Linked DNA regions of Saccharomyces cerevisiae S288C. Each later gene encodes a partner of the first gene's protein in a complex. Each region holds a gene or a part of one and is shown on either strand. Other genes may lie near its edges.

The links. Proteins that work in one complex are often made in the same cells at the same time.
Region 2: MPE1 (region 1) and REF2 share a complex: the UniProt entries of both Saccharomyces cerevisiae proteins name them as parts of the cleavage and polyadenylation factor (CPF) complex.
Region 3: MPE1 (region 1) and PAP1 share a complex: the UniProt entries of both Saccharomyces cerevisiae proteins name them as parts of the cleavage and polyadenylation factor (CPF) complex.

The regions. Positions count from the first base shown.
Region 1 is NC_001143.9:326,053-333,634, forward strand, and holds MPE1 (cleavage polyadenylation factor subunit MPE1), read right to left. Parts: upstream 3,392-7,582; coding exon 2,066-3,391; downstream 1-2,065. Other genes in the region: BLI1 (Bli1p), read left to right, coding at 1-60; fructose-bisphosphate aldolase FBA1, read right to left, coding at 356-1,435; TOA2 (transcription initiation factor IIA subunit gamma), read left to right, coding at 4,114-4,482; NUP120 (Nup120p), read right to left, coding at 4,804-7,582. UniProt on the Saccharomyces cerevisiae protein: Component of the cleavage and polyadenylation factor (CPF) complex, which plays a key role in polyadenylation-dependent pre-mRNA 3'-end formation and cooperates with cleavage factors including the CFIA complex and NAB4/CFIB.
Region 2 is NC_001136.10:846,600-850,700, reverse strand, and holds REF2 (RNA-processing protein REF2), read right to left. Parts: upstream 2,103-4,101; coding exon 501-2,102; downstream 1-500. Other genes in the region: CAB5 (putative dephospho-CoA kinase), read left to right, coding at 1-427; YDR194W-A (uncharacterized protein), read right to left, coding at 2,478-2,630; MSS116 (ATP-dependent RNA helicase), read left to right, coding at 2,755-4,101. UniProt on the Saccharomyces cerevisiae protein: RNA-binding component of the cleavage and polyadenylation factor (CPF) complex, which plays a key role in polyadenylation-dependent pre-mRNA 3'-end formation and cooperates with cleavage factors including the CFIA complex and NAB4/CFIB.
Region 3 is NC_001143.9:441,510-445,438, forward strand, and holds PAP1 (polynucleotide adenylyltransferase PAP1), read left to right. Parts: upstream 1-1,722; coding exon 1,723-3,429; downstream 3,430-3,929. Other genes in the region: dynamin-like GTPase VPS1, read right to left, coding at 1-1,213; oxysterol-binding protein OSH6, read left to right, coding at 3,872-3,929. UniProt on the Saccharomyces cerevisiae protein: Polymerase component of the cleavage and polyadenylation factor (CPF) complex, which plays a key role in polyadenylation-dependent pre-mRNA 3'-end formation and cooperates with cleavage factors including the CFIA complex and NAB4/CFIB.

The DNA.
Region 1 (7,582 bases):
AATGAAATAAAAATTAAAACAGTTGTGAATAACAGAAGACAATCGCGAACTCCAAAATGAGCTATCAAAAACGATAGATCGATTAGGATGACTTTGAAATGACTCCGCAGTGGACTGGCCGTTAATTTCAAGCGTGAGTAAAATAGTGCATGACAAAAGATGAGCTAGGCTTTTGTAAAAATATCTTACGTTGTAAAATTTTAGAAATCATTATTTCCTTCATATCATTTTGTCATTGACCTTCAGAAGAAAAGAGCCGACCAATAATATAAATAAATAAATAAAAATAATATTCCATTATTTCTAAACAGATTCAATACTCATTAAAAAACTATATCAATTAATTTGAATTAACTTATAAAGTGTTAGTGGTACGGAAAGTTTCCAAAGACTTGGTGATCTTAGCACCCATGGTCTTTTCACCTTCTCTAACCCAGACTCTTGGGTCGAAGAACTTCTTGTTTGGCTTTTCTGGACCTTCTGGGTTACCGACTGGGGACATTATGTAGTCCTTCTTGTTCAAGACGTAGTCTCTGATACCAGTCAAGTAAGCGTATTGACAGTCAGTGTCCAAGTTGACCTTGACAACACCGTTGTCAATACCAGTGTGGAATTCTTGGACAGTAGAACCGGAACCACCGTGGAAGACCAAGAACAATGGCTTTTCTTCCTTGCAACCAACTTGTTCTCTGGTGTACTTTTGGTGTTCAGCCAAGATTTCTGGTCTCAAAGCGATGTCACCAGCGTACAAACCGTGACAGTTACCGAAAGCAGCAGCAATGGAGAAGTTTGGAGAGATTGGGTGCAAAGCCTTGTAGACGTTGTAAACTTGTTCTGGCTTGGTGTACAAGTCTTCCTTGTCAGCGTTTTCGTTGTTAACACCATCTTCTTCACCACCGGTAATACCGATTTCCATTTCTAACCATTGGTCCATAGCGGCCATTCTCTTGAAGTACTTGACACAAGTAGAGATGTTTTCTTCATCGGTTTCTTCAGACAAATCCAACATGTGGGAGGAGAATAATGGTTCACCGTGTTCCTTGAAGTAAGCTTCATCAGCTTCCAACATACCATCGAACCATGGCAACAACTTCTTGGCACAGTGGTCAGAGTGTAAGACAACTGGGATACCGTAAGCTGGAGCAATGGATCTGATGTAGTGGGCAGCGGCAATAGCACCCTTGATGGAAGCATTTTGACCTTCGTTAGAGATACCCTTACCAGCGAAGTAAGCAGCACCACCGTTAGAGGTTTGCAAAATGATTGGGGACTTGCTGTCTCTAGCAGCTTCTAAAGCAGCGACGGCAGTAGAAGAAGAGGTGACGTTAATAGCTGGAATAGCGAACTTGTGTTCCTTAGCGTAAGTGAATAAGTTGTGGACATCTTCACCAACGATGACACCGGTCTTTCTCTTTAAGATTTGTTCAACACCCATTTTGAATATGTATTACTTGGTTATGGTTATATATGACAAAAGAAAAAGAAGAACAGAAGAATAACGCAAGGAAGAACAATAACTGAAATTGATAGAGAAGTATTATGTCTTTGTCTTTTTATAATAAATCAAGTGCAGAAATCCGTTAGACAACATGAGGGATAAAATTTAACGTGGGCGAAGAAGAAGGAAAAAAGTTTTTGTGAGGGCGTAATTGAAGCGATCTGTTGATTGTAGATTTTTTTTTTTTGAGGAGTCAAAGTCAGAAGAGAACAGACAAATGGTATTAACCATCCAATACTTTTTTGGAGCAACGCTAAGCTCATGCTTTTCCATTGGTTACGTGCTCAGTTGTTAGATATGGAAAGAGAGGATGCTCACGGCAGCGTGACTCCAATTGAGCCCGAAAGAGAGGATGCCACGTTTTCCCGACGGCTGCTAGAATGGAAAAAGGAAAAATAGAAGAATCCCATTCCTATCATTATTTACGTAATGACCCACACATTTTTGAGATTTTCAACTATTACGTATTACGATAATCCTGCTGTCATTATCATTATTATCTATATCGACGTATGCAACGTATGTGAAGCCAAGTAGGCAATTATTTAGTACTGTCAGTATTGTTATTCATTTCTTAGGGCTTGCGTCAGCTTGATGAGGATTTGTGATAGTAGCCGTTGGAGGCATGAAGGGCATTGGAAACATGGGGAAAGGAGGTATACCGAAAGGTAACGGTACTGGTGGCACTGGCGTACCGCCGTTATTTACAGAAGTTGGAAGGCTGGTATTGTTGTTCAAGCCAGCGGTGCCAGTTGGATCCATCAACTTCATTTTCTTAGTTTCTGGCTGGTTGCCATCTTTAGAGCTTCCGTGTAGTTCCTCTTGTTTCTTCAAAAACGTTTCGACCTCCTTTTCCTTGTCCTGGTCGGGTACTAAAGAATCGAGAAGGATATCGCGGGTTTCGCAATTGGGGCATACAAAGTCGCTCTCTACCAGTGCATTTTCCAGCGCCTCTTTTGAGAAATCTATGTTACAGCACTTGCTTGTCTTTACCGGCTGCCTCAAAAGACCACCTGTCAAGGGACATTTTAAATCGTCAGGAAGATCTTTGAAATGGCCTTTTCTCCAAATGGTTTCATCACCATCAATTTGACGGTTCTCTCTTTTCCTTTGGTAGTCTTCCCATGATTGTTTGTCTTCAACTTGTACCACGAACTTGCCTTCGTCCGTAATCATAATCTTTCGCTGAGCCATCTCTTCCGGTGTCATTGTCTCGGGATCTATTTCAATGGATTTTAAAAACTTCTTTGGAATACCTGTGGTTCTTCTGATTCTTTTTCCTTCAAAATTTGGATCGCTGTTAGTTGGACAATTTTTAATCCAGTGGTCTCTACCCCCACAACGATAGCACATATAACCTGGTGGCGGTGGGCCTTCGTTTTCTTGTGCAGAATTCTTATTCGTCTGTGACTTGAAAAAAACAGGTGTGGCTGCAGACATTTCTTCTTGCGTTTGTTCCCATTGATTTTCTTGTGTGGCAAACATACTAGCAATTCTTTCTTCTTCCGTTGTACCACTAACATTAGCAGTGGTTGTAGCAGTGTGTTGTCTCTTTTGCAACACTCTTGGCCTACCAGTAACATACCTTGTTGCGTTCCCAAGAGCTGCTGCTCCCACATTCCCTTTAAGTCGACTGTGTACGGAGAATGATTTAATTGCTGGAGATCTTTTTACTATGACACTAGTAGATCTAGGTATAACAAAGGCATCATCGTCGTATTCCTCTTCTGTATCTGGGTTGTAAATTTTTAATTGGAAATCTGTGCCGTCACCTAGTTTGTTCTCTTGAATAATTTCCCTTTTCAAATCAAATACTGTCAGGCCGGTACCATCAAATAAAATTCTTGATGTGTTTCGTTGAGACTTAAAGCGGTAAAATATCGTGCTACTCATGTTACACTATTCCAGTCTCTGCCGATATGATGAGAGCTACCGAAATTTCAGTACCCTCTTGATTGTTCTTGCTTATTTTATGTTGGCCATAAACTTGGTTATTAACAATATGCTTGATATTCATCATCATTGTATTAACTTTCAGTAAAGTTACCCGCCTGAATTACAATGTTGTGACATAATATAATGGCATAAGGAAGGTTATTGCACCAGCAATGGATTAAGGTAGTTATATTTACCGCTTATACACTACATGATAATGAATATATCAAGTCGATCATCCTTTTTTATGTTTTAAAATACTTTACATACATAACTGTGTTTTTACTTTATCTAAAAAAAGAGTTGTTATGAATTTGTGATTATTTATATTTCCAAATATTTATGATCTCAAAACGTAAAAAAACATAAAAAAAAAGTGTTAACCAAAGAAATTGAAGAAAGATAGATAAATAAGTTCCAAAAGTTCTATGAATTTTCAGGTTGCATGGCAGATAATGTCTTCTGCTAGGCAAATGTCAAACATGAACTGAATTGTCAATACAACATAATGTTAGCTTCATTATTGTTGTATTGCCGGGTAAGCTAATTTTACTAATAACAATATTTTCTTAACGCCTTAGAATACTTTGTGAAATATTCGACCGAATAAGGAATAAGTAGAAGATGCACTTAGAGGTTAGGAGGGGGACACAGGCTATCGAAGATAACAGTAAGGATAAATGGCAGTACCCGGGTATTACGAATTATATCGTAGAAGTACTATAGGGAATAGTTTGGTGGATGCTCTTGATACTTTAATTAGTGATGGGAGAATAGAAGCGTCGTTAGCTATGCGTGTTTTAGAGACATTTGACAAAGTGGTGGCTGAGACTTTAAAAGACAATACCCAATCTAAATTGACTGTGAAAGGAAACCTGGACACATATGGATTTTGCGATGATGTTTGGACTTTTATCGTAAAAAATTGTCAGGTTACTGTTGAGGACAGCCACCGCGACGCCTCCCAGAACGGGTCTGGAGATAGCCAAAGTGTAATTTCGGTGGATAAGTTGAGGATTGTGGCATGTAACTCAAAAAAGAGCGAGTAATATCTATGCTATATGCCCGGATGCTTTGTTGACCAATAGTTACATTGAAATTTCTCTATTATCTCCTCTCTTCTACCGCTTTTAATACAAGCTCTAGGAACAGTGTCATGAAATAATGTTTTGTATTCTTTTATATTAGGGAACTTGTGATTCTTCTGTTTTTGTTTTTTATTTTTCCTGTCTGTACATTCATGTAATAATAATTTAGATTTAAAGTTCAATCTTTTTACTTAAAAAACAAACGAAGATCATGGTGCTAATATTCGGATTTGAGTTGATCAATTTTTTAAATGAAGTATTAATTTACAGTTTATATATTCACTATAGACCTCGTAACTCATCTCTTAAATCAGTTAAAGTAACCACTTTACTTCCGTTTAGAATCCATTGATCGTATGCACTATCAAAGCTAGATAAAACGTTGATGACCATTAGGTAACATTTTCTCTTTCGAATAACATCAAGATCAGCTTGCATTAATATGTACTGGTACAGTACTTCTGCAGCAGCCCTCTCGCTTTTGTTCAACATTCTAAAACAATAAAGTTTCTTAAAACACTCCCAATCACCACTCCGTAGATTTTGTGACAGAATACTATCCACTATTTTAATATCTACTGTACGAAGATATAGCTCGCCATTGTCTGAATGTGCGTTACACAAGCGCAGAAGTGTGCTGAAAAAATCTCGTGAATATATGTCTTCCTGTAATAATAATTGGAGAAAATTTGTTCTTACTGTGTCGGAAAGACACTCGTGACCCAATCTCAAAACATCCAAGACTTCTTCAAACATTCTGAAGTGGATTAAAAGATTTAAATAATGAATATGCTGTTTTTCTTTGAAGTCTTGCAGTTCTTCAATCTGAATTTCTTTTAATGAATATTCTGCTGACTTAGATATACATTTCAAAGCAAATTCTTGGCTGTTATTTCTATCAAATAAGAGAGATAATTGATAATAGAATGCAGAATGCCTATATGGAACTGTAAAGGTGCACAAAAGATCTTTCCATATACTATCACCGTGATAGTTTTCACTCTTAAGGTCTTCTAAGAATGTCGGCAATTTATCATTGATAGCCTCCGGATAATCGTGTAGTTGAAAAATTTCATAGGATTGATCGAAATTACCACAACTAAATAACGTCATGGCAAACATAAATTCTTGCACCTCGTTGTGGCGTAAGTAGAAGGGGCATTCAACGTTCTCGAGAAAGAACCTTATATTCTTATGAGATGTGTTTTCAATGATATATGAGCGGAAAAACGTCATAAAGAAAGAATTTTCAGTGATGGAAGCATTGTAAACATTAGAGTTTAAGGAATCGATATAGGCAATGAGTTGGCCGTAGTTAAAAAATTTGACACCGAAAGAGAATTCAGAAGAATCCTTGAGAAGAACTTCCGCCAACAGACACTTATCTTGTCTATAAAGGTTTAACAATAAAAATTGCTTATAATGCAAATCCAATAATGTAGATATATGCTGTCCGAAAATTTCGGTATCAAGATCGAACAGAACGAATGTTAACAATACTTGTAAAGTAATACGATAATGTATGGAAAGTAACTGGTGAAGAGATTCTAGGGAAATTATACTTGTGAAACCATCGAATTTGATTGCAGAGATGAAATCCTTTTTCCAAAATATACCAGGCTTCATTTGGTTATTGATTAAATCATTTAAAACAACGGGTATATCAAAAGAGTTTAATTCGTCGAAAAGAATCTTTAGATTTGTGATTTCAAATTGATTTTCTAGGCAATTTTTGAAAATGTCCGTAAATTTTTCTACGGTAGTCATAGAATCAGGCAGCTCTCCTGTTATTATATCAAGAAACTTCTTAGAAATGGATCTAAGAACATCATTTGACAAAGTAGAAGCAAAACCATTCAATGTCCTTAAATACTTGAACAATTCAGAACCATCAGTTTCAGAGTGCATATTATAAAACCAATTCTCCACAGTAGTATTCAGCTTGTAAAGGGAATGATTATACGGTTGGAAACAATTGACGAGAATAATTTCATCGCCATAAAGTGTTATAGAAGAAGCCTCGTTGAATGCGGTTTTTACGTCTCTCAATATTGTTTCTAAATTAGCCAAATATTCTTCATCTTCGTTATGAGCCATAATAATCTTATTTTCACTCAATATTTGCTGTGCACGTTCAAAAATTTGGGTACCATATCTTGATTTCAAATTACAGAAACCCCTCTCAACATCTCCAGTCTTTGTAACGATATCCAAATCATGTTCGGATTGCAAATCTACTAAGGATTTGTTAACTGATTCTATCCATTCATAGTTTTTGAAACTTTCATCATTTACGTTTAGTATCTGTAACTTGCTAGCAGTGCCACTTTTCCATAAAACGATCAAATTTAAATAACTAGCCTCGACATTCAACTCCAATGGTCTCGTTAGAACTAAATCTACAATTGACCAAATAGCAGAAGCTGAAAGATTAGTGGGGATGTTATTTTGAAAAGTATAAGTCAAAATACCGCTTGAATCAACCAACAAGGTGCCCATTTGAAAAAGCCCATTTTCCAAAGGCAACAATGTAACTAGAGTATTGTTATACAAGGAAAGGTATTCCCCTACAGCTTCCACTTTTCTAAAATGGCTTGGGTCTGAATCTGACTGTGAAACCATATCATAATCTTGTATTAAAGTAAATGAAGTTAAATCCCAAATTTTCAAGTGGCAATTCTGAGTCAACACAATTAAGTATCTTTCATGGAATAATTTACAACTAATCACACTATCGTAATCCGATTTAGAACTCCTAGAAAAAAATCGCGTTAGGCTTTTCAAGTATGAATTATCATTGAATAGTAAAGGCTCGTAATGTACGCCGTCAACTTTTTTTAAACCCAACAAACCGCCATCTTCCAAAAAAACAACTGAGAACTGGGGTGATACATAGAAAAGGAAATGAGGAACTCTAACTGTAAAGTCGTAGGGATTTTGGAGATGAAACCACTCTCCATTGAGAGTGTTGGCCGATGAAAATAGGAAACTTAGGGGTAGTTGTAACGTTAAAAACGAACCATCTTTTAAGATAACATTAACCAGTAATTGCTGTTCCACT
Region 2 (4,101 bases), on another chromosome or scaffold:
CAAAGAAATTGGCTACTATTACTTGAAGGGATATAGAATGTGTGTATTGGATGTGCCACTCTTATTTGAAGGAAATCTGGATTCAATATGCGGAGTGACTGTAAGCGTAATTTGTACGCAAGAATTGCAACTAGAAAGATTAATGACAAGAAATCCTGAACTTAGTGAAGAAGATGCAAAAAACAGGCTAAATAGTCAAATGAGCACTGAAGAAAGGATGGCAAGATCTGACTATATCCTACAAAATAACAGCACATTGGTTGACTTATACGAACAGATTGAAAGTGTTGTAAAAAAAATCCAACCTAGTAAATTAAGAACTGTTTTGGAGTATTTCCCACCTTTTGGGGCCGTAAGTGCCAGTAGCATCGTCATGTCCAGATTACTGATGAAAAAACTTCAAAATAAAAAGTCTTCAGCGGTATAAGGTTGATATCTTATAATTACATTATATAAAATGAGTATATATACTACATGTTTATGTATCAGCATGTCATAGCTTAGTGTACTGGTCTTGGAGGATATTTATTTCTTTTTACTATGGGGACATGCTTGTATGGCAAACCACCTCTGTCCTTCCTTAGTAATAAACTATTTTTACCGAAAGCCTTTGCTATAGTCGGGGTTGAGTTCGTATTTCCATTTAAGTCGAATTCTATGGGTTCTCTTGGCGGCCTTTTATTCAAGTCCGGGTTGAAATGATTGAAATTTTTTCTATAGATCAACGGGGTCCTTGTTTCACAATGTATTGGGCCACCTTTAGTCTCGGATATATCCATATAGTCATCACTGTTTGTGTTCTTCAGAAACATCAAATCAAGAGGTTTTAATTTGATTGACATATCCTCGAACAATATAATTTCCTTCGGTTCCCCCTCCTTGAATGGTTTCAGAATTTTTTTCAATTGAGTAGGAGAAACTTGTAGCCCTTGGTTCGGTAGATCGTCACCGTAAACTTTTATTAGTTGGGAATCATCCAAAAATTTGATGCTACTTATGCGTGCTTTTTTCGGTTTACCATTTCTCAAAATCGATTGTACATTAGAGTCTTGCACGGATATTTTGGTTTTTTTTTTTAAGGGCTCTTCTGAAGAAGCAGGAGTCGCTACCGTTGTGGTTGACGATCCTGACGTTGACGAAGATATGATATTAGAAGCCACCGTGGATGCTTCGGGGTTGACTTTGAAATCCACATCTATTGACCGTTTAGTCCCAAGCTTGGTCATATCTGCGTCATCCTTGTTCAGATATTTAGAAAATGATAGTTTTTTCTTGGAAGAAGTAGGTAGAGATTCTGTAGACTTAGCTTCATTTTTATTGAATAAACCCGACTTCAATTTCTTCATTGAAGAGGTAGATGCAGTAGGCGATGGAGAAGAATTTTTGTCATCGTTATTGAGCAAAGGAGAAGGTTTTAATTTAGTTTTCATCTTGACTTTTGATTTATCCTTCTCCTTCTCCTTTTCTTTTTCTGAATCCTTTATCTTTGCTTTCGAACTAGCCAATTTCTTTTTGAGGTTGGCCTTTGTACCAGTACTATTCGAACCCTTTTGGAAACCCAATGTATCTAATAATTTCATATAGGATCGTACATTTTCAGCAACGGAAGTATCCAAGACGCATAAATTGATGACTGCATCTACCAGACCATCCATTTTAGATAATCGATTATGGCTATTTTTATTCAGGATTAAATTGTCAATGTAATTTTTCCTTTCCTCGGGAGAAAACTTAGGCAATTGGTTAACGAAGAAGTCCAGGGAGACATCATTAGCGATGGGCGGTGTAGAGTGGTGTTGTTTCTCATGCTTTAGTTTAATTAGCTGGTTCAAATAATCTAGATACATTGATTTTAAGCCAGAATACAGCTGTATATCTGCTTCAGTCACGTTCTTTTCCTTCCGTTCTATGTGCAAGTTATCTTTGGTAAACTGATTCAAAGCCGCTTGCAAAGAATCGATATACTTGTCAATTCTTGCCAGTTGAATGGAAGATAATTTGCAATCTTTATTAAAATCTACCATATCCAAACGAATTTGCTGGATAGTGGAAGCTTGCAAGGCATGAGAAATATTTACTAATTGAGGAACAGGTGCTGACATTGTTCAATTCTTCCACAGTGTCTTTACTTATCGTATCGTTTCTTTTCTTTTCCTTTCTTGGTCCTTTCGATTTCCTTGTGCCTTTGCTTGTAGGTTTTTGAGCTTTAACCTCACTTACTCACACGATGTCTTGATAAAAGTATATATAATATATATAATAGACCCGCCAAAAGAAACCGTTGGTGTGCCGACGTGATACAGAGCGGTAGAGTACAATACAGTACAAAAGAGTTATGCTTGTTTTGTTCTGCCTCCAACAGTGTATGCTTGTTAACAAGTGCCTCAATCGAATATCATCGATTTTTTATACCGCCTTGAGAAAAACTGACGAAAAACGCTGGCGCCGGAGAGTCGTGTATCGTGATATATCGTGATTTACAACTGGTAATATATAGATGAATACCGTACCCAATTCTGATAATAACAAGTAGGCTGGAGTGATATATGGCACTGTTTTATTTCAAAAAAGCAAATTAGCAACCTCAAAGTGTCTTTACTTATGGATGCTTCAATCATCATCTGTTTCATTCTCCGTCTGTAGTGATATTATAGAAAGAATAAAATTTTCCTATAAAAAGAAGGGAAGTATTGATGGCCACTATGGTGTCTCAGAGTGGCAAGAAAATACCAGAGTTGCACGTTAGGCTGATAAATGTTGACCTCTATATTGATAAAAGGTCGCACACCTGTTCTTGCAAGCAGAAATTTATTAGCAGCTCTCTCGAATTGCAACCATATTACTTGGGCTGTTTCAAGAAGATTATACAATGATGGAAACAGAGATCAAAGAAATTTTGGTAGGAATCAGAGAAACAACAACAGTAACAGGTATAGAAACTCCCGTTTCAATTCTCGCCCAAGGACAAGGTCTAGAGAAGACGATGATGAAGTGCACTTTGATAAGACCACTTTTTCCAAACTAATTCACGTCCCAAAAGAAGATAATAGTAAAGAAGTAACGCTGGACTCTTTACTGGAGGAAGGAGTCCTTGATAAAGAAATACATAAAGCCATTACCAGGATGGAATTTCCCGGTTTAACTCCTGTACAGCAAAAGACTATCAAACCAATATTATCCAGTGAAGACCATGATGTTATCGCAAGAGCTAAAACCGGTACAGGTAAGACATTTGCCTTCTTGATTCCAATTTTCCAGCATTTGATAAATACGAAGTTCGATTCTCAATATATGGTAAAAGCTGTTATTGTCGCACCAACAAGAGATTTGGCCTTGCAAATCGAAGCAGAGGTGAAAAAAATCCACGATATGAATTATGGCTTGAAAAAGTACGCTTGTGTCTCTTTAGTTGGTGGTACTGACTTCAGGGCAGCTATGAATAAAATGAATAAGTTGAGACCAAACATTGTAATTGCCACTCCAGGGAGATTGATTGATGTTTTGGAAAAATACTCCAACAAATTTTTTAGGTTCGTAGATTACAAAGTGCTAGATGAAGCTGACAGATTGCTAGAAATTGGATTCAGGGATGATTTAGAAACTATTTCTGGTATTTTAAATGAAAAGAACTCCAAATCAGCCGATAATATCAAGACTTTGTTGTTCTCTGCTACTCTGGACGACAAAGTACAAAAGTTGGCAAACAATATCATGAATAAAAAAGAATGTCTCTTTTTAGACACAGTAGATAAGAATGAACCTGAAGCACATGAAAGAATTGATCAGTCTGTCGTCATTTCAGAAAAGTTTGCCAATAGTATATTTGCTGCTGTGGAGCATATAAAGAAACAAATAAAGGAAAGAGATTCTAATTACAAAGCCATTATTTTTGCACCAACTGTTAAATTCACATCCTTTTTGTGCAGTATTTTAAAGAATGAATTTAAGAAAGATTTACCAATTTTGGAATTTCATGGTAAAATTACTCAAAATAAAAGAACAAGTTTAGTTAAAAGATTCAAAAAAGATGAATCCGGTATTTTGGTTTGTACGGATGTGGGAGCCCGTGGTATGGATTTCCCAAACGTCCACGAAGTTTTG
Region 3 (3,929 bases), 110 kb from region 1:
ATACGTAAGAAATTCTAGCACCACCAGAAAGTTCCTGACTGGAAAGCTCCTTCGCCTCACCGTCCAAGATACCGGCATATTCATTGGAAAAATCAGTAATCATGCTCAAAACAACCGAACTAGCTGAATCCATAGTTTCTGGGCCCAAGTTTATAAGTTCGTTTTGATATTTTTTCAATGTGGCTTCGATTTTCGCTTTGATTTCTGGCAGAGTTTGCCTAATGTGGTGTAATAAGATTGAGTTTAACTTTTTAGCCAAATATGGTGTACCACAGTAATGAGCTTTAGAACTGTAAGAGGGATGGTTCTCAAAAAATTTTCTTTCGTTTTCAAGGGCTTCTCTGATTGTTTTTTTGTGTTCAATATCCTTTTGACCTCTATTGATAACTGGGATATAACCATATCTCAAAGGAATGACTCTTCCAGCCAAAATATCTATGACATCTGTACCTTGATCCATCAAATCGACTTTTGTCAAGACACCAATAGTTCTCGTTCCTTCTGGATCGACCTCTCTAGCCAGCTTCAAACCATCGCTGTTGGCTAAATCGGTGTTAGCGGCATTAACAGATAATATGATAGCGTTTGGTTTCGAAATATACTTTAACAACATGTCCTTAATTTGTCTTTCAATATCAGGAGGTTGGTCACCTACGGGAACCTTCGTCAACCCAGGCAAATCCACTAACGTCAAAGTAAGAACATGCGGAGAATAAATTCTCAAGTTAATGGGCACAGAAGAAATACCTGAATTGGCACCTGTCACTTTGTCAGTTTCTTTGACGATTTCCTTTCTAATTTCGTCAAAATTATAAAACTTCTTACCAGGTAAATGCAAAAATTCACCCCATTCCTCTTTATTGTCTTCAGATTGTCCCTCGTTCTGGTGCTTTCCTGATTCATCCTTTTTCTTGTCATCATCGTTGATGTTCAAGTCAATCAATTCATTAGCAGTTTGGTTTACTTTAGCATGTTCTGACTTTTTTGGTCTCCTATTAATCAATTGTAACACTAAAGGTCTCCTGGTGACAATACCAGTACCTCTTGGCAAGAAATCCCTACCAACAATGTTCTCCAAAACGGACGACTTTCCTGACGACTGGGAACCGACAACAGTGATCTGTGGTAAATCAATAGGAGATTGAGATCCTCCTCCTAAGGGCGCCAAAGCGTCCTGAAGCTTGTTAATAGTAGAAATTAAATGCTCATCCATGATATCTGATAATATAAAATGTGCAGTTTTCGTACGGTCCTTATTTTGGTGCTATAAAAGGCCTCTCTAATTCTTTTTTAGGAGTAAATAGATGAATTATCTCGGTCTGTCTTGGAAGATATGTTGTTCTCTTGATGGCAAAGCGACGCGAATCAACGGCGCCCAAGTCTTTGGGTGACCCGGCCACTTAATAATGTTTGGGGAAGAAATCAATCCATTAGAACATTGGTTTTGGAAACTAGGCCAGTCCAAGCGCACAAGTGGTTTACCCTCGAGCATTTTTCGACTATTAGAGGATTCAAGTATCTATCGAATTCTCTGAAGCTATCATACTATCCTCTGGACGATATTAGAACGATTTTTCAAGTGAAACGTTTTAGCAAAAGTTTAAAGACACTAAACTAGCTAAATAATTTCACTGTGAGCAAGTCTTTAAACGGTCTTTTTTGAATCAAAAGAGGCCTAGAATTAGCAAAATATTTAACGCATAAACTTTTTTTAGACAAATAATGAGCTCTCAAAAGGTTTTTGGTATTACTGGACCTGTTTCCACCGTGGGCGCCACAGCAGCAGAAAATAAATTAAATGATAGTTTAATCCAAGAACTGAAAAAGGAAGGATCGTTCGAAACAGAGCAAGAAACTGCCAATAGGGTACAAGTGTTGAAAATATTGCAGGAATTGGCACAAAGATTTGTTTATGAAGTATCGAAGAAGAAAAATATGTCAGACGGGATGGCAAGGGATGCTGGTGGGAAGATTTTTACGTATGGGTCCTATAGACTAGGAGTCCATGGGCCTGGTAGTGATATCGATACTTTGGTAGTTGTTCCAAAACATGTAACTCGGGAAGATTTTTTTACGGTATTTGATTCACTACTGAGAGAGAGGAAGGAACTGGATGAAATTGCACCTGTACCTGATGCGTTTGTCCCGATTATCAAGATAAAGTTCAGTGGTATTTCTATCGATTTAATCTGTGCACGTCTAGACCAACCTCAAGTGCCTTTATCCTTGACTTTATCAGATAAAAATCTACTGCGAAATCTAGACGAGAAGGACTTGAGAGCTTTGAATGGTACCAGAGTAACAGATGAGATATTAGAACTGGTACCAAAGCCGAATGTTTTCAGAATCGCTTTAAGAGCTATTAAGCTATGGGCCCAAAGAAGGGCTGTTTATGCTAATATTTTTGGTTTTCCTGGTGGTGTGGCTTGGGCCATGCTAGTGGCTAGAATTTGTCAACTATACCCTAACGCCTGTAGCGCAGTTATATTGAACAGATTTTTCATCATTTTGTCGGAATGGAATTGGCCACAACCTGTTATCTTGAAACCAATTGAGGATGGCCCGTTACAAGTTCGTGTATGGAATCCAAAGATATATGCCCAAGACAGGTCTCATAGAATGCCCGTCATTACACCAGCTTATCCATCAATGTGTGCTACCCATAACATCACGGAATCTACTAAAAAAGTCATTTTACAGGAATTCGTAAGAGGCGTTCAAATTACGAATGATATTTTTTCCAATAAGAAGTCCTGGGCCAATTTATTCGAAAAAAACGATTTTTTCTTTCGATACAAGTTCTATTTAGAAATTACTGCATATACAAGGGGCAGTGACGAGCAGCATTTAAAATGGAGTGGTCTTGTTGAAAGTAAGGTAAGGCTTCTAGTTATGAAACTGGAGGTGTTAGCTGGAATAAAAATTGCACATCCTTTCACCAAACCCTTTGAAAGTAGTTATTGTTGTCCAACCGAGGATGACTATGAAATGATTCAAGACAAATACGGTAGTCATAAAACTGAGACAGCACTGAACGCCCTTAAACTGGTAACAGATGAAAATAAAGAGGAAGAAAGTATTAAAGATGCACCAAAGGCATATTTAAGCACCATGTACATAGGCCTTGACTTTAATATTGAAAACAAAAAGGAAAAAGTTGACATTCACATTCCCTGCACTGAATTTGTGAATTTATGTCGAAGTTTCAATGAGGATTATGGTGACCACAAAGTATTCAATCTAGCCCTCCGCTTCGTAAAGGGTTACGATTTGCCAGATGAAGTTTTCGATGAAAATGAAAAGAGACCATCAAAGAAGAGTAAAAGGAAGAATTTAGATGCTAGACATGAAACCGTGAAGAGATCTAAATCAGATGCTGCTTCAGGTGACAACATCAATGGCACAACCGCAGCTGTTGACGTAAACTAAGACATTCCTATTTATAGTTGAATAGTTTATTAATATAGGTTAATCAGTCATAAACAAATTTGTACCCTTTTTTTTGAATCAAAGTACTTTTTTTACGAAGCAGTAAAACGTTTACGAGATTCTCTCTACATATGCTCTTTCGCGTGTAGCGACATTTTACCATTAGGTGAGAATTTTGTGTTACAAGCTGGATGTCAGGATGATACCTTTGAAGGCATAGTTAAATTGGCTGGGAAAGGAACGGAACCTTTTCCTTTCCGAGTTTCGGCCAGATATTTAGGCTTTTTTTTTTCTGACGGAATAGGGGACCCAGGATTGACAAATATAACAAAACAAGCTTCAACGAGACGTTTATCTCGAGAATTACGTCTGACAGTTACATGAAGTGTGAGTTCATGCAATCTGTACCTTTATTGACACAGATATACTAAAAGAAGTTACAATGGGCTCCAAAAAACTGACCGTAGGATCTGATTCGCACCGGTTGAGCAAATCCAGTT